Saccharomyces cerevisiae S288C: one gene and its partners. Changing the gene in region 1 together with any one later gene gives a genetic interaction. Each region holds a gene or a part of one and is shown in the gene's direction. Other genes may lie near its edges. The genes, in order: SAC1, PBS2 and PSD1.

What was found.
Region 2: mutations in SAC1 (region 1) and PBS2 together harm fitness more than expected from each alone (negative genetic interaction), as found in Saccharomyces cerevisiae (5 studies listed by BioGRID).
Region 3: mutations in SAC1 (region 1) and PSD1 impair growth when combined (synthetic growth defect), as found in Saccharomyces cerevisiae (5 studies listed by BioGRID, with this or other methods).

What each region holds. Positions count from the first base shown.
Region 1 is NC_001143.9:31,118-38,198, forward strand, and holds SAC1 (phosphatidylinositol-3-phosphatase SAC1), read left to right. Parts: upstream 1-3,425; coding exon 3,426-5,297; downstream 5,298-7,081. Other genes in the region: YRA2 (Yra2p), read right to left, coding at 1-576; DOA1 (Doa1p), read right to left, coding at 843-2,990; TRP3 (bifunctional anthranilate synthase/indole-3-glycerol-phosphate synthase), read right to left, coding at 5,582-7,036. UniProt on the Saccharomyces cerevisiae protein: Phosphoinositide phosphatase which catalyzes the hydrolysis of phosphatidylinositol 3-phosphate (PtdIns(3)P) and phosphatidylinositol 4-phosphate (PtdIns(4)P). Has low activity towards phosphatidylinositol-3,5-bisphosphate (PtdIns(3,5)P2).
Region 2 is NC_001142.9:176,798-183,878, reverse strand, and holds PBS2 (mitogen-activated protein kinase kinase PBS2), read left to right. Parts: upstream 1-3,775; coding exon 3,776-5,782; downstream 5,783-7,081. Other genes in the region: SPT10 (Spt10p), read left to right, coding at 1-1,581; MCO6 (Mco6p), read left to right, coding at 2,170-2,328; TRK1 (Trk1p), read left to right, coding at 6,573-7,081. UniProt on the Saccharomyces cerevisiae protein: Kinase involved in a signal transduction pathway that is activated by changes in the osmolarity of the extracellular environment. Activates the MAP kinase HOG1 by concomitant phosphorylation at 'Thr-174' and 'Tyr-176'.
Region 3 is NC_001146.8:316,072-323,152, reverse strand, and holds PSD1 (phosphatidylserine decarboxylase 1), read left to right. Parts: upstream 1-5,481; coding exon 5,482-6,984; downstream 6,985-7,081. Other genes in the region: BNI5 (Bni5p), read left to right, coding at 1-934; SKO1 (Sko1p), read left to right, coding at 1,794-3,737; FMP41 (Fmp41p), read left to right, coding at 4,344-5,123. UniProt on the Saccharomyces cerevisiae protein: Catalyzes the formation of phosphatidylethanolamine (PtdEtn) from phosphatidylserine (PtdSer). Plays a central role in phospholipid metabolism and in the interorganelle trafficking of phosphatidylserine.

The sequences.
Region 1 (7,081 bases):
AGCTTCGACAGAAGTAGGAGTGTTATTCTTCTCACGGCCCTTGTTCTTTTTGGAGACTCTGTTAGGCTTTTGGCGATAATGGCTCCCTGGCCTGCCTCTTCCGTGTTCTTGAGCCGTCTGTTTGCGACGGTTGTGGGCATTCATTCTAGAATGCTTTCTCTGTGGTTGGTAAATCTCCACTTCAATTTTTGCATTATGTAACTCATGTCCATTATAACGCTCGACAATCTTTTCCAAAACTTCTGGGTCTTCAAATTCGTAAATACATGTACGATCCTCTTTATTGTCAAAAATTTTCGAAAATATTGGCGAGCCAAACTCTTTAATCATATCATCGAGGGTGTAGTCAGAAACGTCTAGTGGGATTTTGGATATTCTAATTCTCTTAGGCAAAGGAGGCTCTTCCCTCTCTCTATAAAGGCGATCTTTCGACCTTGATGCAGCATCCGAAGGCGCAAATCCCAGTCTAGGTCCTAATTCATTTCTTAAATCCCTTCTGCGGTATCTCGTTACCTTATGATTAGATGAGCTGTCTGTGTGACTATTTCCAATAATTTCGTCAAATGCTTTGTCCATTGCAAAATGCAGTATTGAATCGTCTAATGGAAAAGGTACTAGACGCTTATCGTTTCAGTTTTTTAGTCTTTTCCATCTATTTATCAGTCTGTACTCAAAATAACCTTATTGTATGTAACCTTTTTCATTTCACGATGATAATTTCTTGCCGAGTTAGACAGAAAATGACCGTGATAGTTTGTCATAATTTTCAATAGGGCAGAAAGAATTTTAAAGATTATTTGCTATCTAGACATTATGTGTTTTATATGATTGCTGTAAAAGTATTAGGAGAGATCGTCGAAAATATCCTTAAACCTTGGCACGTTCCCATAGCTCCTTTTGATGTTTGCAAGCCAAGTTACGGAGTTGGCAAATTGTCTTAATGTAGGTTCAACAGTAGCCAAATTTCCGTAAGCTACGGTTAGCCTATATGCGGCTTCTTCGCATTCTTGATACTCTTCCAATGGCCCATACTTGGTGTTGATGGCGTCAGCTACGATAGGCAAAAGTTCTAAATCAGAGTTCCCTTTCGTGACGAGAGCTGAATAGTTGAAAATTAGTGTGGAAACTGCAATAGCCAAATTCTGTGACTGTTTAGCAGATGCCTGAGAAAATTCAGTATCTATAGTCTCAAAAATTGATTTATAAACTTGATTTGATTCCAGTAATTTCACACCCCAGTTTTCATTATTGAAGCAATTTACCAAAATACGCACAGTTAACATGGTTAGAGTGATATTCTTATTGCCCAAGCCTTCTTCGATGTAATCTTTTATATCTGAAGAATAAGGTAATTTTTTTACAATCAATCGTACTATGTCGTATGCAGGAGTCTTAATTTCCCAGTTAGATCTTATAGTGTTAGCAAATGAAAGTAGCAACTCCCAGCTTTCATCTATGTCATGTAGTGCGCCACCAATTTGCGCCAGAATTTCATCATCAAAGGTCTTCTCATTTGAATTTATTTTTACTATTCCATTGAAAATAGTATCTGGGTTATAATTTTCCATGATAAGATACTGCTTGACAGGAAGAACCTTCATTACGCTCGTTTTTGAAGGTGATACTGCAGAAGATGATGCATTATCGTTGGGCTGGTCTAGCGATATGCCATTAGTGTTCTTCAGTATGAACTGTACTACTTGATCCCTATAACTCATTGGCAGTTCATAACGAGCCAAAAAATTGTCGGCTGCTGTATATGGGTTGTCGCTGACATTAATCGGCAATTTCAAGGGAGGTTTTCCATCTTCAATATCCACATCAAATACGTAGTCATACGTTTTACCCTCGAATTCTATTTTTTTGTCGTTTCCAGTAGCACCTGCACCGACAACATCACCAACCTTTTTCCATGAAGAATTTGAAAATTGATGAGCTTCTATAGTACCTTGAGGTGATTTGACTACCACAATTTGACCCTCTTTGCGCCCCGGCGATTGTAAAATTTCATAAGGTGATAGTTTAGACTCATCAAATTCTATTGTCTTGGAACTTATAGTGGATTTTTCCACTTGCGTAGATAGTTCATTTATTTCATCCTCGGAAGCCCATCTTGACTTCTCTTGCGAAAATATTCTCACAAGATTATCACTACTTCCCACAATAATATCACCATTAGACATACAATCAACGGACCAAATAGAGATGGCAGGAAGTGTAATTACCTGCTTTAACGAACCATTTTCCTTTGACCATATACGGACTGTTCGGTCTTCGCCGCAGCTTACAATATCTCCATTGGGCAGCAGTTTAATGCAATAAACAAAGCTTTCATGGCCTTCATATGTTCTTAGTACGTCACCTGTATGCATATCAACCAACTTGATGAGGCCATCGTTTGAACAACTGATAAAATGGCCATCATCCACCACAGCTAAATGTCTTACTACATCATTGTGAATCCCACTGAAAGTTTTGATCACTTTATCGTTTTGCCACAGTTTAATCGTCTTATCGGCGGAAGCTGTCAAGAATTTATTTTCTGAGAAGGATACGACTTTGGCATCCCATACAGAGGCATTGTGTGCTTGCAAATTGTAAACCAACGATCCTTCTTTCCAAACCTTTGCGGTTTTGTCCCAACTACCGCTTATCACAACACCATCTTGGAAGGATAAACTACAAACGTTCCCTTGGTGGCCAATCAAGGTATACAAGGGATCCTCTCCTGAGGTGGCAAACAAGGGCACACCGTTGATCATAGTATCCTTACCTCCAAAAAGCAACAACTCCTTCTCGGAATCATAACACACACTATTTAAAAATCCTTGTCCTGTATAAACTACCGTACCGAGCCATTGGTCATCTTTAGACCACAAGCGAACTGTTCCATCCCTCGAAACACTAGCAACCTTTGAATCATCCACAGCTACCACATCCCTGACGTCCTGATCGTGCCCTTTAAGTGTTGCACTCAATTGATATCCCATACTCCAAATCTGCTGCTCTACACCTTACTATCACACATGAATATATATATATAAAATAAGCCAAGACAGTGGCCTTCCCTTATTATCAGCGTACTAAAATCTCATATGATTTATTTTTCGTGGTCCTGAACGAGTGTGAAAAATTTTGAAAAACTCGCAAAGGAAATGCCAAGGTCAGCAACTTTCTCGACGTCCAAGCCTCGCTCCTATTGTTTTAGTAACCTGTAGACCTTCAATATTCAAGAGCTTGCACACGCACGCATTGCTGCACTACTGCTTACCCACACTACAAATTTAATTCCAGCTTATTGAAGTTGAAAAGGCAAGGGAAAAATACCACAGGTTTAGATAAGGAAATAGGAGAAAGGATTAGAAACCATATCCCTATAACAGTAACGATAATATTTATATACACGTATATTTTCTCGTCTAGATATGACAGGTCCAATAGTGTACGTTCAAAATGCGGACGGTATCTTCTTCAAGCTTGCTGAGGGCAAAGGAACTAACGATGCTGTTATTCACTTGGCCAATCAAGATCAAGGTGTTCGGGTCCTTGGAGCAGAGGAATTTCCTGTGCAAGGTGAAGTAGTAAAGATTGCGTCCTTGATGGGGTTCATTAAGCTAAAGTTGAACAGGTATGCCATTATCGCAAATACTGTGGAAGAGACCGGTAGATTCAATGGCCACGTTTTCTATAGAGTGTTGCAACATTCTATCGTATCTACCAAGTTTAACTCGAGAATCGATTCTGAAGAAGCCGAATATATCAAGCTACTGGAGTTGCATTTGAAAAATTCCACCTTTTATTTTTCATACACATATGATTTAACAAATTCCTTACAAAGAAATGAAAAGGTTGGTCCTGCAGCCTCCTGGAAAACCGCTGATGAACGATTCTTTTGGAACCATTACTTAACTGAAGATTTGAGAAACTTTGCTCATCAAGATCCTAGAATTGACTCCTTTATACAACCTGTTATCTATGGGTATGCCAAGACAGTGGACGCCGTTTTGAATGCCACCCCTATCGTTCTTGGTTTGATTACCAGACGTAGTATATTTAGGGCGGGCACAAGATACTTCCGTCGTGGTGTTGACAAAGACGGTAACGTTGGCAATTTCAATGAAACTGAGCAAATTTTACTCGCTGAGAATCCAGAGAGTGAAAAAATACACGTTTTCTCCTTCTTACAGACAAGAGGATCTGTGCCAATATACTGGGCTGAAATCAACAACTTGAAGTACAAGCCAAATCTTGTTCTTGGAGAAAACTCATTAGATGCGACAAAAAAGCATTTTGACCAGCAAAAGGAGTTATATGGCGACAACTACTTGGTTAACCTAGTCAACCAAAAGGGCCACGAACTACCCGTGAAAGAGGGCTATGAATCAGTCGTGCACGCGCTAAACGATCCGAAGATTCACTACGTGTATTTTGACTTCCACCATGAATGTCGTAAGATGCAATGGCATAGAGTGAAATTGTTAATTGATCACCTGGAGAAATTAGGTTTATCTAACGAAGATTTCTTCCACAAGGTCATAGACTCTAATGGTAACACCGTTGAAATTGTTAATGAGCAACATTCCGTTGTAAGAACAAACTGTATGGATTGTTTGGACAGAACAAATGTCGTTCAATCTGTTTTAGCCCAGTGGGTTTTGCAAAAGGAGTTTGAAAGTGCCGATGTCGTTGCTACTGGAAGCACTTGGGAAGACAACGCTCCATTGTTAACTTCTTACCAAAACTTATGGGCTGATAATGCAGATGCAGTTAGTGTGGCATATTCGGGCACTGGAGCTTTGAAGACCGATTTCACAAGAACCGGTAAGCGTACACGTCTAGGTGCATTCAACGATTTTTTGAATTCAGCATCACGTTATTACCAGAACAATTGGACTGATGGTCCAAGACAGGATTCATACGATTTATTCCTTGGTGGATTTAGACCACATACCGCTTCTATCAAGTCGCCATTCCCCGACAGAAGACCAGTGTATATTCAGCTGATCCCAATGATCATTTGCGCAGCCTTGACCGTTTTAGGTGCTACGATATTTTTTCCTAAAGATAGATTTACCAGCAGTAAGAATTTGCTGTATTTTGCAGGTGCGTCGATTGTCTTGGCGCTTTCAACCAAATTCATGTTTAAGAACGGTATTCAGTTTGTCAACTGGCCTAAGTTAGTAGACGTTGGGTTCTTGGTCGTTCATCAAACGCATGATAAAGAACAACAATTCAAAGGTTTGAAATATGCACAGAGTCCTAAATTTTCCAAGCCGGATCCTTTAAAAAGAGATTAATGAGTTCTATATGTGATAAAATGATGATTATTGTAAATCCAAAACGTAAAACCGAAAATATGATAAAAACGAGAAAAAAAGTAAGTTAAAAAATAAAAAAATAAAAAAATGAACGCCGGCCCCAGAGGGAAGAACAAGCTATTTATTTTCTTTTTTACTTTATCTTTCATGGTCATATATATATATATATATATATATATATATCTTCTATAGGCTACTATACATGAAGGCGTTCGCCCTTACAACGTTAAGTTTTTTTCCCTATTGTACCGTGTAAGTTTCAATTATTCGCATAATTCATGAATGAACTTCTTCACATCGGTTGATTTCATTAGGGCTTCACCCACTAAAAATCCATGGACACCTTCTTTTTTGTATTTTTCAGCATCGTCCCTGGTGGTAATTCCCGATAGAGCAATTAGAAGAACATCCTTTGGAATAGATTCTACCAAGTTACTGGTGGTATTTAGGTCTACGTTGAATGAATGCAGGTCCCTATTATTGACACCTACAACTTTAGCACCAATTTCTAGAGCCCTTTGTAATTCCTCTTTGGAGTTCACCTCAACGAGAGGTTCCATGTTCAAATCTTTACTGTAGCTGTACAGTTCCTTCAATAAGGGTTGAGATAGCATCTTGACTATAAGAAGGACAGTGTCAGCTCCAGCTAATCTTGCTTCTAGTATTTGATACTTGCTGAAAATAAATTCTTTTCTCAAAACACAAGGCCTCTCCTTGGGAGGAAATTTCAAATCTAGGATTTTCCTCACATTTACTAAATCCTGTAACGAACCGTGAAACCAATGAGGTTCGGTCAATACGGAAATTGCGGATGCACCAGCCTCTGCGTATTTGAGAGCCTGTTCAGCAGCAACAGCTTTTAAACAAATGGGTCCCTTCGATGGAGAGGCACGCTTGACTTCAGCAAGAACAACGGCTCTTTTATGGGATGATGACAACACCGTGTAGAAATCCTGTAACGGTGGGGCAAGACCTAAATCATAGTTAGATTGTAAGTCTTGAAAGGTGAAACCTGGGATTTTAGACTGCTCATTGACGTCTATTTTACGCCGAGCATAGATACGGTCCAAAATAGAATTTGAAGGAGATGATTTGTTTTCCTCCCAAGTGCCTCCACTGACGTTTAAAATGTTCCTGATCATCAGATGACCTTCCTCGGTCAAGATGGATTCCGGATGAAATTGCACACCTTCTACAGTGTACTTCTTGTGTCTTACACCCATGATAATTCCATTTTCGGTACTCGCAGTAACCTTCAAGCAGGATGGTAGGGACGATTCTGTCCCGGCCAATGAATGGTATCTTGTCACAGCAATACCTTGCGGCACGTTCTTGAAAATTCCACAGTTGTCGTGAGAGATTGGGGACGTTTTACCGTGGACAATCTCACCAGCGTAGGCAACTTCACCACCAAATACGTCAAACATGCATTGCTGGCCCATACAGATTCCAAATACAGGAATTTTCCCAGTAAAGTACCGGATACAGTCTCTTGAAATGCCAGAATCTGTCTTTGGGTGGCCTGGTCCAGGCGAGATAAGCAATGTGTCGGGATTCAAGGCGGCAATTTCTGGAACTGTAATTGCATCGTTACGGTAGACGCTCACTTTGGCGCCCTCCTGGCACAAGTACTCGTAAACGTTCCAGGTAAAGGAATCGTAGTTGTCAATTAGAACCACATGCTTATTGATTGGGTTTGTTGCAGCGTGCACAGACATTTTTTTCTTACTTTTATGGCGTTCTATGTAGAACCAAACAGATTT
Region 2 (7,081 bases), on another chromosome or scaffold:
TTAGGCGAAATACCAGAACTGGATTATAGTATGGATACTGAAGCGGACACAAATGATAATTTTGGAACAGAAATAGAAACCACGAAGCACACCACCCAATATAAGAAACGAAAAGAACGTCGCAATTTAAATCTAAGTATGCAGTGGGAGAAGCAATGTCTAGGCATATTTGACCTCAAACCAGCATACCCTGGACGGTCAGCGCATGTGGTCACAGGAACATTTCTGGTCAATGCTGGTATTCGTGGAAAAGGTATTGGGAAAACACTAATGGAAACATTCATAGAATGGTCAAAGAAATTAGGATTTACGTCCTCCTTTTTCCCGTTAATTTACGGAACGAACGTAGGAATCAGAAGAATTTTGGAAGGATTGAACTTTAGGCGGATTGGAAAGCTGCCTGAAGCCGGGATTCTCAAGGGCTTTGATGTCCCAGTAGATTCTTTCATGTATGGTAAAGAGTTCACACATATTACGAAAAGTATAGATTTGTTACGAGATCCTCAAAAGAGTATCGAAATTGGGAAATATGAACGATTAAAGCATTTTCTGGAAACAGGCAAGTATCCTTTACATTGTGATAGAAACGAAAAGGCTAGATTAAGAGTACTTTCCAAAACTCATTCGGTATTGAATGGCAAGTTGATGACAAAAGGAAAAGAAATCATTTATGACACGGATCAACAAATCCAGATTGCATTAGAGATACATTTAATGGAACATTTAGGCATCAACAAGGTGACCTCCAAAATTGGTGAAAAATACCATTGGAGAGGAATCAAGAGTACTGTTTCGGAGGTAATCTCTCGGTGCCAAAAATGCAAGATGAGGTACAAAGACGGGACAGGGGTAATAATTGAACAAAAGAGAGCAGTTAAGCAGGCGCATATGCTACCGACGCAGCATATAGAAACTATCAACAATCCAAGAAAAAGCAAGAAGCATGATAATGCGTTATTGGGACAGGCAATAAATTTCCCTCAAAATATTATTTCCAGTACGCTGAATGATGTGGAGGGTGAACCCACTCCGCCAGACACTAATATCGTACAACCCACATTCCAGAACGCCACGAATAGTCCCGCAACAACAGCTGAAGCCAACGAAGCGAATAAAAGATCCGAGTTTCTTTCCTCAATACAGAGCACGCCACTATTGGACGACGAACAGTCAATGAATTCCTTCAATAGATTCGTGGAGGAAGAAAACTCAAGAAAAAGACGAAAATACTTGGATGTTGCCTCCAACGGAATTGTACCCCATTTAACGAATAACGAATCGCAGGATCACGCGAACCCCGTCAACCGTGATGAACGAGATATGAACCATTCAGTTCCCGATTTAGATAGAAATGACCATACTATAATGAACGATGCTATGTTGAGCCTCGAAGATAACGTCATGGCCGCTCTAGAAATGGTCCAAAAGGAACAACAACAGAAGATAAATCATCGAGGTGAAGATGTGACTGGCCAACAAATCGATTTGAACAACAGTGAAGGTAATGAGAATTCAGTCACTAAGATTGTTAACAACGAATCTAATACATTTACAGAGCACAATTCTAATATTTATTATTAAATTGCGACTCTGCCAGAGACGGTCACATCACCAACCCTAGAAACTATAAAGTTTGTACAGAAAAAAGGTACATTTAATGATGCGTCCACTTTTGGAACAGGGTTGACAAGTCTTAAATCTTATTTCAGAAGTGATTTTTGAAGTAAAATTGGAAACTGAAATTGGAAACAAGGCACTCAACTCAATTATGCTTGCATGACGAAAGGTTCTGTTACAGTTTTACGTTGAAACCTAGGTACTGCAGAAATCCATAATCGGAGATAAATAACTAAGCTTTGTGCTGCAAAATTTTCCAGATTAGGAAACCTGATCCTCAGTGCCCTTTTAAGTACTGCTGTATCTGATGCCGTGAACGAGACACTATTGGCTGCGTGGGCACGTACCAAGTATACTCATCAAAATTTGTCTTAGGTTTTCCGATGCGGAAAATGGCAGCGCACAATTTAAATAGAAAAGGAGTTAAATGTACAGCAGCAAAATCAGTCACTCACGGAGAAAAGCTACGGTAGCGTAACGAAGAGCACATTGCTACTAGCAGCCAGCTAGATAATTGCAGCAGTGTACAGTTTACGCGACAATAAAGAAAGCATGATTTTCTTTTTCAACCAGATCCGTTCAATATTTACAGCTTTGCATACGCCAACTCAACAGATCCAATTATCAAGAAGGGCCTTTTTCCAATTCTTAGGCTATTTGGGTAGTTGTGTTGTGATTTCATTAGCAGCTCAATCGAAATACGTGCAGTAAGAAATGAAATAATGACCTGCAACAGTCCTTCTTGAGATGGAATGAAGTAATTGCTCTTTGAACGAGAGCACAAAAGCAAGCAGAAGTCGCGTATGTCAAGCCCATGATATAGCTGCTTAGATATATAGGTAGATATAAATAAGCACAATGGCTACAGTAATTGTGCGGTGCAGGGAGGCAATGTTTAGTGCATCTCCTCTACATCATTTCTATTTTTAATCTCGTCCACGAGAACGATTTAAGGAAATGGGGCTTCAAAAATAAAAAAATCAAATGAAAGTAATAATCTTTCAGCTTAGACTTATTTTTAGTTGAAACACTTGAATAAGAGTGCAGACACTCAATCGTGGTGTAGCTACAAGAACATATGGTGGCGTGTTTCTGCTGCAACTGTCAAGATCGTCTGTGTCTTAATGAGGTGATATATAGAACTGCTGAATACGGAGCCGTTTGTCTTTTACTGCGGGATTAACTTCAACAGCTACGGCCGAAGCCAATTCTGGCAAAAGGCAATGACTAAGTCTTGTTTCTCATGTAGATTACTATTTTGAGCGTGTTGCTTTTCTGTTCCCCTTGAGCATAGCAGCAGGCACGGAAGCATACAGAATATTCACTAACATGAGAACAACTCATTACTAGACTACTACCAGTTACTACACATCGATACAACTCCCCAGAAATATCACTGTTGAGAGTTCATGTCAAGACGTAGTATAGTATTGCAACAGGAAAAAAAAATCTTATTGCGTAGCACTCTGTATCTATTTTATATATCTGTTTCTATATTTGATTAATCTCTTGTTATCTTGGTGATGATCGCACAAGTATGTACTCCTGTATCTGCAAGAATATCTGTTTTAAACTTTTCAAAGCAAGGAAACCCCGTCTTATATAGGTTATCCGCAAAGGTCACATTTTCTTGCAAATAGAAGAAAAAGCACCCACAAGCACACTAACACAGTGCCAGAGCAAAACTATATCCTTTGCATCCGATCTCAAACGCTGTTCTTATCGCATCTGTCTTCGTCCTTTCATCTGCATTTACCTTTTCTTTTTCATCCTCTATTTGCCTTTTCATTAGTGGCAATTTTTCCAGTTTTTTCCCTCTGCGTCCCGTTGCACCTGAAAGGATCTTTCTAACGTGTGTTGTCTACTAGTGAGCGATTTCGTGAGCCATACACGTTCTATAGAAAATTGAATAAACTTTACTTCAAAGGGATCTGGACACAGAGATAACTGCTTACCTGCTTGCCGGAAGAAAAGAATTACTAAAAAAGAAGACAAGGGTAGCTGCTATTGTGGGTACACGTTTCACAGAACTACTTTTTCCTTGTCCTTCTCCAGACATCAACGTCATACAACTAAAACTGATAAAGTACCCGTTTTTCCGTACATTTCTATAGATACATTATTATATTAAGCAGATCGAGACGTTAATTTCTCAAAGATGGAAGACAAGTTTGCTAACCTCAGTCTCCATGAGAAAACTGGTAAGTCATCTATCCAATTAAACGAGCAAACAGGCTCAGATAATGGCTCTGCTGTCAAGAGAACATCTTCGACGTCCTCGCACTACAATAACATCAACGCTGACCTTCATGCTCGTGTAAAAGCTTTTCAAGAACAACGTGCATTGAAAAGGTCTGCCAGCGTGGGCAGTAATCAAAGCGAGCAAGACAAAGGCAGTTCACAATCACCTAAACATATTCAGCAGATTGTTAATAAGCCATTGCCGCCTCTTCCCGTAGCAGGAAGTTCTAAGGTTTCACAAAGAATGAGTAGCCAAGTCGTGCAAGCGTCCTCCAAGAGCACTCTTAAGAACGTTCTGGACAATCAAGAAACACAAAACATTACCGACGTAAATATTAACATCGATACAACCAAAATTACCGCCACAACAATTGGTGTAAATACTGGCCTACCTGCTACTGACATTACGCCGTCAGTTTCTAATACTGCATCAGCAACACATAAGGCGCAATTGCTGAATCCTAACAGAAGGGCACCAAGAAGGCCGCTTTCTACCCAGCACCCTACAAGACCAAATGTTGCCCCGCATAAGGCCCCTGCTATAATCAACACACCAAAACAAAGTTTAAGTGCCCGTCGAGGGCTCAAATTACCACCAGGAGGAATGTCATTAAAAATGCCCACTAAAACAGCTCAACAGCCGCAGCAGTTTGCCCCAAGCCCTTCAAACAAAAAACATATAGAAACCTTATCAAACAGCAAAGTTGTTGAAGGGAAAAGATCGAATCCGGGTTCTTTGATAAATGGTGTGCAAAGCACATCCACCTCATCAAGTACCGAAGGCCCACATGACACTGTAGGCACTACACCCAGAACTGGAAACAGCAACAACTCTTCAAATTCTGGTAGTAGTGGTGGTGGTGGTCTTTTCGCAAATTTCTCGAAATACGTGGATATCAAATCCGGCTCTTTGAATTTTGCAGGCAAACTATCGCTATCCTCTAAAGGAATAGATTTCAGCAATGGTTCTAGTTCGAGAATTACATTGGACGAACTAGAATTTTTGGATGAACTGGGTCATGGTAACTATGGTAACGTCTCAAAGGTACTGCATAAGCCCACAAATGTTATTATGGCGACGAAGGAAGTCCGTTTGGAGCTAGATGAGGCTAAATTTAGACAAATTTTAATGGAACTAGAAGTTTTGCATAAATGCAATTCTCCCTATATTGTGGATTTTTATGGTGCATTCTTTATTGAGGGCGCCGTCTACATGTGTATGGAATACATGGATGGTGGTTCCTTGGATAAAATATACGACGAATCATCTGAAATCGGCGGCATTGATGAACCTCAGCTAGCGTTTATTGCCAATGCTGTCATTCATGGACTAAAAGAACTCAAAGAGCAGCATAATATCATACACAGAGATGTCAAACCAACAAATATTTTATGTTCAGCCAACCAAGGCACCGTAAAGCTGTGCGATTTCGGTGTTTCTGGTAATTTGGTGGCATCTTTAGCGAAGACTAATATTGGTTGTCAGTCATACATGGCACCTGAACGAATCAAATCGTTGAATCCAGATAGAGCCACCTATACCGTACAGTCAGACATCTGGTCTTTAGGTTTAAGCATTCTGGAAATGGCACTAGGTAGATATCCGTATCCACCAGAAACATACGACAACATTTTCTCTCAATTGAGCGCTATTGTTGATGGGCCGCCACCGAGATTACCTTCAGATAAATTCAGTTCTGACGCACAAGATTTTGTTTCTTTATGTCTACAAAAGATTCCGGAAAGAAGACCTACATACGCAGCTTTAACAGAGCATCCTTGGTTAGTAAAATACAGAAACCAGGATGTCCACATGAGTGAGTATATCACTGAACGATTAGAAAGGCGCAACAAAATCTTACGGGAACGTGGTGAGAATGGTTTATCTAAAAATGTACCGGCATTACATATGGGTGGTTTATAGCGTTAATATCCAAATAAAAGCAAACAGGCACGTGAATATAACAACAAAAAAAAAGCAGACGAAAAGCTACTGTGGAAATGATGCGGCGAATACAAAAAAACCTTACATATACATATGTTTATTGTAATAAACTTGCATTATACTCGTTATAGACATATATATATATATATATTCATATATATATATCGTCTGACTTCCTTTTGTCGAACCTAAAAAAGGGCACGAATTATGACAGAGTATTGAGGGGATGTTATTTCAAGCACCGGCAAGTGAAGCGATGTGGACGTCAATATATTGTGTTATTCGATTATTGCTACGGCCATCGACTCCTCGAAATTATTTACGTTCGGGGCTGACAACGCAAGAAAGAAAAAATGCTCTGGAATTGTCTGATGGTTTTTCCGCTCTTTACGGCTCAAGGCTAGGAAAGAAAAAAAAGTCCAAAATCATCGAGAAAATAAAAGGTGTTTTGAAAGTTCAAATCCACGTTATTGAGAGTAGATGTGGAGTCTGGACCAGGAACTATACCTGTATCTTACCCTAACTTCTAAATTTTGCTACTTTCACGGAAAACAGTAAATAATTACCTATCAAGATAAAGAGCTCTTACATTATTAGAAACTTTTTGTTACTGTTGCTTTCCTTTCGCCCATTGTTTTTACCTTACCATTAGCATCACTGATTCCACACTTGTATTGCCTTAAAAAGAAGGAGGGTATTCTATTGGCTCTCAAGGAAGTCATTCCTATCCATTTTACTTAAAGTTATTACCTTTTTTTGATAACTAACAATGCATTTTAGAAGAACGATGAGTAGAGTGCCCACATTGGCATCTCTTGAAATACGATATAAAAAATCTTTCGGCCATAAATTTCGTGATTTTATTGCTCTATGTGGTCACTATTTTGCTCCAGTTAAAAAATATATCTTCCCCAGTTTTATCGCGGTTCACTACTTCTACACGATATCCCTGACATTAATAACTTCAATCCTGCTATATCCCATTAAGAATACCAGATACATTGATACATTGTTTTTAGCAGCGGGCGCAGTTACACAAGGTGGCTTAAATACTGTGGATATCAACAATCTAAGCTTATACCAACAAATTGTTCTGTATATCGTATGCTGCATATCAACACCAATTGCAGTTCATAGTTGCTTGGCATTTGTACGGCTTTACTGGTTTGAGCGCTACTTCGATGGTATTAGAGACTCTTCTAGACGAAATTTTAAGATGAGAAGAACGAAAACAATCTTAGAAAGGGAACTAACAGCAAGAACCATGACCAAGAATAG
Region 3 (7,081 bases), on another chromosome or scaffold:
AAAGGCAAAGGACTCCTGCACTGAGAACAAAGAAGATGGTACAGTCAATATAGATCAAAACAGGGGTGAAGCTGATGTTGAAATTATCGAAAATAATGATGATGAATGGGAGGATGAAAAATCGGATGTTGAAGAGGGGCGAGTAGATAAGGGAACAGAGGAAAACAGTGAGATTGAATCTTTCAAATCACCCATGCCCCAGAATAACACCTTGGGCGGTGAGAACAAGTTAGACGCTGAACTTGTATTAGACAAATTTTCTTCCGCTAATAAGGATCTAGATATACAACCGCAAACCATAGTTGTAGGAGGTGACAATGAATACAACCATGAGAGCAGCCGTTTAGCTGATCAAACACCCCATGACGATAATTCAGAGAATTGTCCCAATCGCTCTGGAGGAAGCACTCCCTTAGATTCTCAAACTAAAATTTTTATCCCTAAAAAGAATTCTAAAGAAGATGGTACCAATATAAATCACTTTAATTCAGATGGTGATGGACAGAAAAAAATGGCGAATTTCGAGACACGACGCCCTACAAATCCGTTCAGAGTTATCTCGGTGAGCAGCAATTCCAATTCAAGAAACGGAAGTCGTAAATCTTCACTAAATAAGTATGATTCGCCAGTCTCCTCTCCTATCACATCAGCGTCTGAGCTGGGCAGTATTGCCAAGCTGGAAAAAAGACATGATTATTTATCCATGAAATGCATTAAGTTACAAAAGGAAATTGACTATCTAAACAAGATGAATGCACAGGGTTCTTTATCTATGGAAGACGGAAAGAGACTACATAGAGCCGTAGTGAAGCTTCAAGAATATCTTGACAAGAAAACGAAGGAGAAATATGAGGTCGGAGTGTTATTAAGTAGACATCTGAGAAAGCAAATTGATCGTGGCGAAAATGGCCAATTTTGGATTGGAACTAAATGATTACATTACGCCAAGGGTTGTTATAAATATTTATAAATTAAGACAGATATATAAAGTTAAAATAAATACCAAAAGAACATAGACAATCGTAAGAGAATAAGAATCCTTTATCCTAGAGCCATCCATCTGTTATTTTTGATGTTGCTGACTTTTTTTCTGATAAATTCTATTATTTTAATAGTAAAGAGGTGAGTATTTCGCCTAAACGTAAACAAAACGATAATAAAAAAAAAAAAAAATGAAGACAAAATGTTCAGATAGTCAATTATATTGTAATAACATGAAACGGAACAATAACAGTACCCAGAATTCAATTTCAATGGCGTTGTGTCTTCTTTTCTCTAAGAACTTTCATAAACCAAGTCGTACTTAACCGCGCTAGCGATAACCCTGCTAACTTTGTCGCAGAGGGAAAAAAGTAGAATCGAAGGGAAAAATCACGAAAATTAACTGGGCTGAATAGAATGAATTCAGTCATACGGTGATGGTTTTCGAAACAAACTGCACATTTTTCCAGTTAAAAGGACCAAGTTTGGTTACTGATACGTGAGACTAATTTGTTCTCCAGAAACACAATAATTTGGTGCTACATTGCCAACGCTCAGGAGTGGTTTTAAGCTCAGAAAAGTTACTACCAAAGGGGTTCAACGTAAAAGTGAATTGTGTTTTCTTATCGAGAAAAACTCTTTTATTATTCAAGTGAGTTTTCCACTTATTAGATTCCTATCTTTTTACCGATCTCTATTATTTGATAAGTTCCTTAATCAATTCGTGGATTTTTATTTTTATTTCATTCTTTTCATTTCAATTTCTGCATTCCAAATACACCTGCCCAGTCTCTAGACCCTGCTTAATCATTATGTCAAGCGAGGAACGCTCGAGACAACCAAGTACTGTTTCAACTTTCGATTTAGAACCCAATCCTTTTGAACAAAGCTTCGCCTCTTCCAAGAAGGCTTTGTCACTTCCAGGCACGATCTCCCATCCGTCTCTACCAAAAGAGCTTTCACGAAACAATTCTACCTCAACGATAACACAACATTCCCAACGTTCCACTCATAGTTTGAACAGTATTCCAGAAGAAAATGGGAATTCAACCGTTACAGATAATAGTAATCATAATGACGTAAAAAAAGACTCACCTAGTTTTTTACCAGGCCAACAAAGACCTACTATAATATCTCCGCCTATTCTCACACCTGGTGGGTCGAAAAGATTACCACCTCTACTCCTTTCTCCCTCTATTTTATATCAGGCAAATTCAACTACGAATCCCAGTCAGAATTCACATTCTGTTTCAGTCTCTAATTCAAACCCTAGTGCAATAGGCGTTTCTTCTACCTCCGGATCTCTGTATCCAAACAGCTCTTCTCCTTCAGGGACTTCACTTATACGCCAGCCACGAAACTCGAACGTGACCACAAGTAATTCTGGTAACGGCTTCCCCACGAATGATTCACAAATGCCTGGCTTTTTATTAAACTTGTCCAAATCTGGGTTGACACCTAATGAGTCCAATATCAGGACCGGGTTGACACCCGGTATTCTTACGCAATCTTACAATTATCCCGTATTGCCGTCAATTAATAAAAATACTATAACAGGTAGCAAAAATGTCAACAAAAGTGTCACAGTGAATGGAAGTATTGAAAACCACCCTCATGTTAATATAATGCACCCAACTGTAAATGGTACACCACTTACGCCGGGATTGAGTTCTCTGCTAAACTTACCATCTACTGGAGTTTTGGCTAATCCAGTATTCAAATCAACACCTACAACAAATACCACAGATGGTACCGTCAACAACAGCATCAGTAATTCCAATTTTTCCCCAAATACTTCAACGAAAGCGGCTGTCAAAATGGATAATCCGGCAGAGTTCAATGCCATCGAGCACTCCGCTCATAATCACAAGGAGAATGAAAATTTAACGACTCAAATTGAGAACAATGACCAGTTCAATAACAAAACACGAAAAAGAAAGAGAAGGATGTCTAGCACAAGTTCTACTTCTAAGGCTTCAAGAAAAAATTCCATATCAAGAAAAAACTCAGCAGTTACGACTGCACCAGCACAAAAAGATGATGTTGAAAATAATAAAATTTCAAACAACGTAACACTTGATGAGAATGAAGAGCAAGAAAGAAAAAGAAAGGAGTTTTTAGAAAGAAATAGAGTAGCTGCATCTAAATTTAGAAAAAGAAAGAAAGAGTACATCAAGAAAATTGAAAATGATCTACAATTCTATGAATCTGAATATGACGATCTAACTCAGGTCATTGGGAAGCTATGCGGCATAATACCCTCAAGCTCCTCGAATTCCCAATTCAATGTGAATGTTTCAACTCCGTCATCATCATCACCACCATCTACATCTTTAATAGCATTGTTAGAGAGTAGCATTTCAAGGAGTGATTATTCAAGTGCAATGTCAGTATTATCAAACATGAAGCAATTGATATGTGAAACGAATTTTTACCGAAGGGGAGGCAAAAACCCAAGGGACGACATGGATGGCCAAGAAGACAGCTTCAATAAGGACACTAACGTTGTCAAAAGCGAAAATGCGGGCTATCCTTCCGTTAATTCAAGACCAATAATTCTAGATAAAAAATACTCACTGAACTCTGGAGCAAATATCAGCAAAAGTAACACAACTACTAATAATGTGGGAAATAGTGCACAGAATATAATCAATTCATGCTACTCTGTTACTAATCCATTGGTAATAAATGCAAATTCCGATACCCATGATACTAATAAGCATGATGTACTATCCACTCTACCTCACAATAATTGACGAGATAGCGACGGGGTTCTTAAATAGTCTTCTATCTGATGCTTTCGTACTCTTCAACCTGTCCGCTTTTCTCATTGCAAATATTCCACTATAAAGTTCCTTTTAAGAGGAAATCCCTTTTATTCTCCCGCTTTTTTCTGTATTTATGTAACTTCAAGATTTTTTTTTCTATATTTGATATAAACTTTAATAGGGTTCTTCTTTTCAGAAGTTTATCAATTGCTTAAGCCTCCTTTTGTTGATCAACAACAATAAAGGCTTTATTATCGTAAATTTTCCTACAGCATTTATTCTTCATAGAGCATACCGTTATAATTTCACCGTCTTTTCACTACGCTCATAAAGAGAGTACAGTTATACTGCTGCAACCCTAGCATGTATCAAGCTGTGCTGCTTATACCTATTTTGAAAGGGCCATTCCTTCTTTTGCCATTCCTTTTTCGTCTATTTTCCTAAATAGCTTCCTTAGCCTCACGTTTTTTTGTTCGCTTTCAAGAGATGGTCACCGTTCTCTAACTGATAAGGAAAAACGTTTCAGCCAGAACTTCCTATATAGAAATATTCTGAAAGCTATCGAGTAAAGACTCAGGAAATTGCCAAAACGTTATGAGCTACAATTATTTGAAGGCAGCTAGAAAAATTATATGCATTGGGCGTAATTACGCAGCGCATATCAAAGAGCTGAACAATTCAACTCCAAAACAACCGTTTTTTTTCCTAAAACCAACCTCGAGTATTGTGACACCATTGTCTTCATCATTGGTCAAGACCACTAGACCTGCAAACTCGACTTTCAATGGTTTAAATGAAGACGGAACTAACCCCGGGCCCATTTTTATCCCACGCGGTGTGAAGGTTCATCACGAAATTGAGTTGGCATTGATTGTGAGCAAACATTTGTCCAATGTCACTAAGATGAAACCCGAAGAAGTCTATGACTCTATTAGTGGTGTAGCTCTAGCATTGGATCTTACAGCAAGAAATGTCCAAGATGAAGCCAAAAAGAAGGGGCTACCTTGGACTATAAGCAAGGGTTTTGACACCTTCATGCCAATCTCTGCTATAGTCTCCCGCGAGAAGTTCTCATCCTACAAATCAAACTTACAGGATATTTTCAGAGTCAAGTGCTCTGTTAACGGACAGTTGAGACAAGATGGTGGTACTAACCTCATGTTGCACCCACTCCATAAAATACTGCAACACATATCTACCATGATATCTCTGGAACCGGGTGATATCATTTTGACTGGTACACCTGCAGGTGTAGGCGAGTTAAAGCCTGGTGACCGTGTTCACTGTGAGCTATTGCAGAATAATGACAATATTGTCGACATGAACTTCGAATGTGAAAATCGGCCGGGACCATATGAATTTAGAGAAACATAATGTCTGTCGCATTCACGCTTGTCGCAGATAACACGTTATGCGTTACTAATTTCCTACAAGCTTGGCACATATACGACCAATTGTGCTTCTGTATACGCTACGCTATGTAATCACATATCACATGCAGGGTAACCAGCACCTTTTTGGTGTTTTTTCAAATCTCGAGGTCAAGGGACATCTAAAGCAGGCACAAGCATGTGGAAAATTTGTTCTTCACCTATAATATAAAACAGCTTACTCACAAAAGAGACGCCTAGAGGTACGTAGCGCTTTAAGGACTCTTCAGCCAGTTGTTAGCAGATCGCTCAAATCCTTCTTGGTCGTTATTTTTTGAAGAAGAAGGAAAAGCAAAGCCAGCATGTCAATTATGCCAGTTAAGAACGCCTTGGCGCAAGGGAGGACGCTCCTCATGGGGAGGATGCCTGCTGTAAAGTTTTCTACAAGAATGCAATTAAGAAATAGAACTGCGGTGCTATGGAATAGAAAGTTTTCCACGCGTCTTTTCGTTCAGCAACGACGCAGTTCTGGAGAGATTGTGGATCGTGCCAAAGCTGCTGCCGCAAATAGCGGAAGAAAACAGGTCTCCATGAAATGGGTTGTTTTAACTAGTTTCACCATTGTTCTAGGAACCATTTTACTAGTGTCAAGGAATGATAGTACAGAGGAGGATGCTACAGAGGGCAAAAAAGGGAGAAGGACAAGAAAAATCAAAATATTTAACAATAATTGGCTCTTTTTCTGCTATTCTACTTTACCGCTGAATGCGATGTCTCGATTATGGGGCCAAGTAAATTCTCTTACGTTACCCATTTGGGTTAGACCATGGGGTTACAGGTTATATTCTTTCCTTTTTGGAGTTAACTTGGACGAGATGGAAGATCCTGATTTGACACATTATGCAAATTTATCCGAATTTTTCTATCGTAACATAAAACCAGGCACACGTCCAGTAGCACAAGGCGAAGACGTTATAGCTTCTCCAAGTGATGGAAAGATTTTACAAGTTGGTATAATCAACTCTGAAACTGGCGAAATCGAACAAGTCAAGGGAATGACATATTCCATCAAAGAATTCCTTGGCACTCACTCCCACCCCTTGATGTCTAAGAGTGCATCTAGTCTAGATTTGACTTCTGATGAGGAAAAGCATAGAGAATTCGCCAGGGTAAATAGAATACAATTAGCGGGTTCCGAAGACACTGAACAGCCTCTTCTTAACTTTAAAAACGAGGGCGATCAATCTGTTCGAGAGTTCAAACCAAGTGTGTCCAAAAATATACATCTTTTAAGTCAACTTTCTTTAAACTACTTCTCTAATGGGTTTTCGTGCTCTGAGCCTCATGATACGGAACTTTTCTTTGCCGTCATTTATTTGGCTCCCGGTGATTACCATCATTTCCACTCTCCAGTTGACTGGGTTTGTAAGGTTCGCCGCCATTTCCCAGGTGATTTATTCTCCGTGGCACCTTATTTCCAGCGTAACTTCCCTAATCTTTTCGTTCTAAATGAAAGAGTTGCTTTGTTGGGTAGTTGGAAGTACGGATTTTTTAGCATGACTCCTGTTGGTGCAACAAATGTTGGTTCAATCAAGTTGAATTTTGATCAAGAATTTGTGACAAATTCAAAGAGCGACAAACACTTGGAACCACATACCTGCTACCAGGCAGTATATGAGAATGCAAGTAAAATATTGGGAGGGATGCCTTTGGTTAAGGGTGAAGAAATGGGTGGCTTTGAATTGGGTAGCACTGTTGTACTTTGTTTTGAAGCTCCCACTGAATTTAAGTTCGATGTTAGGGTTGGTGATAAGGTTAAGATGGGACAGAAATTAGGCATAATTGGAAAGAATGATTTAAAATGAAAGCAATCATATGTAAAGTTAGCATTTATTTTGCTGTATATAGTATTATCTGCACACTTTGATTTAATTCTTCTTTTGGAGGTATGTAAAATTATAC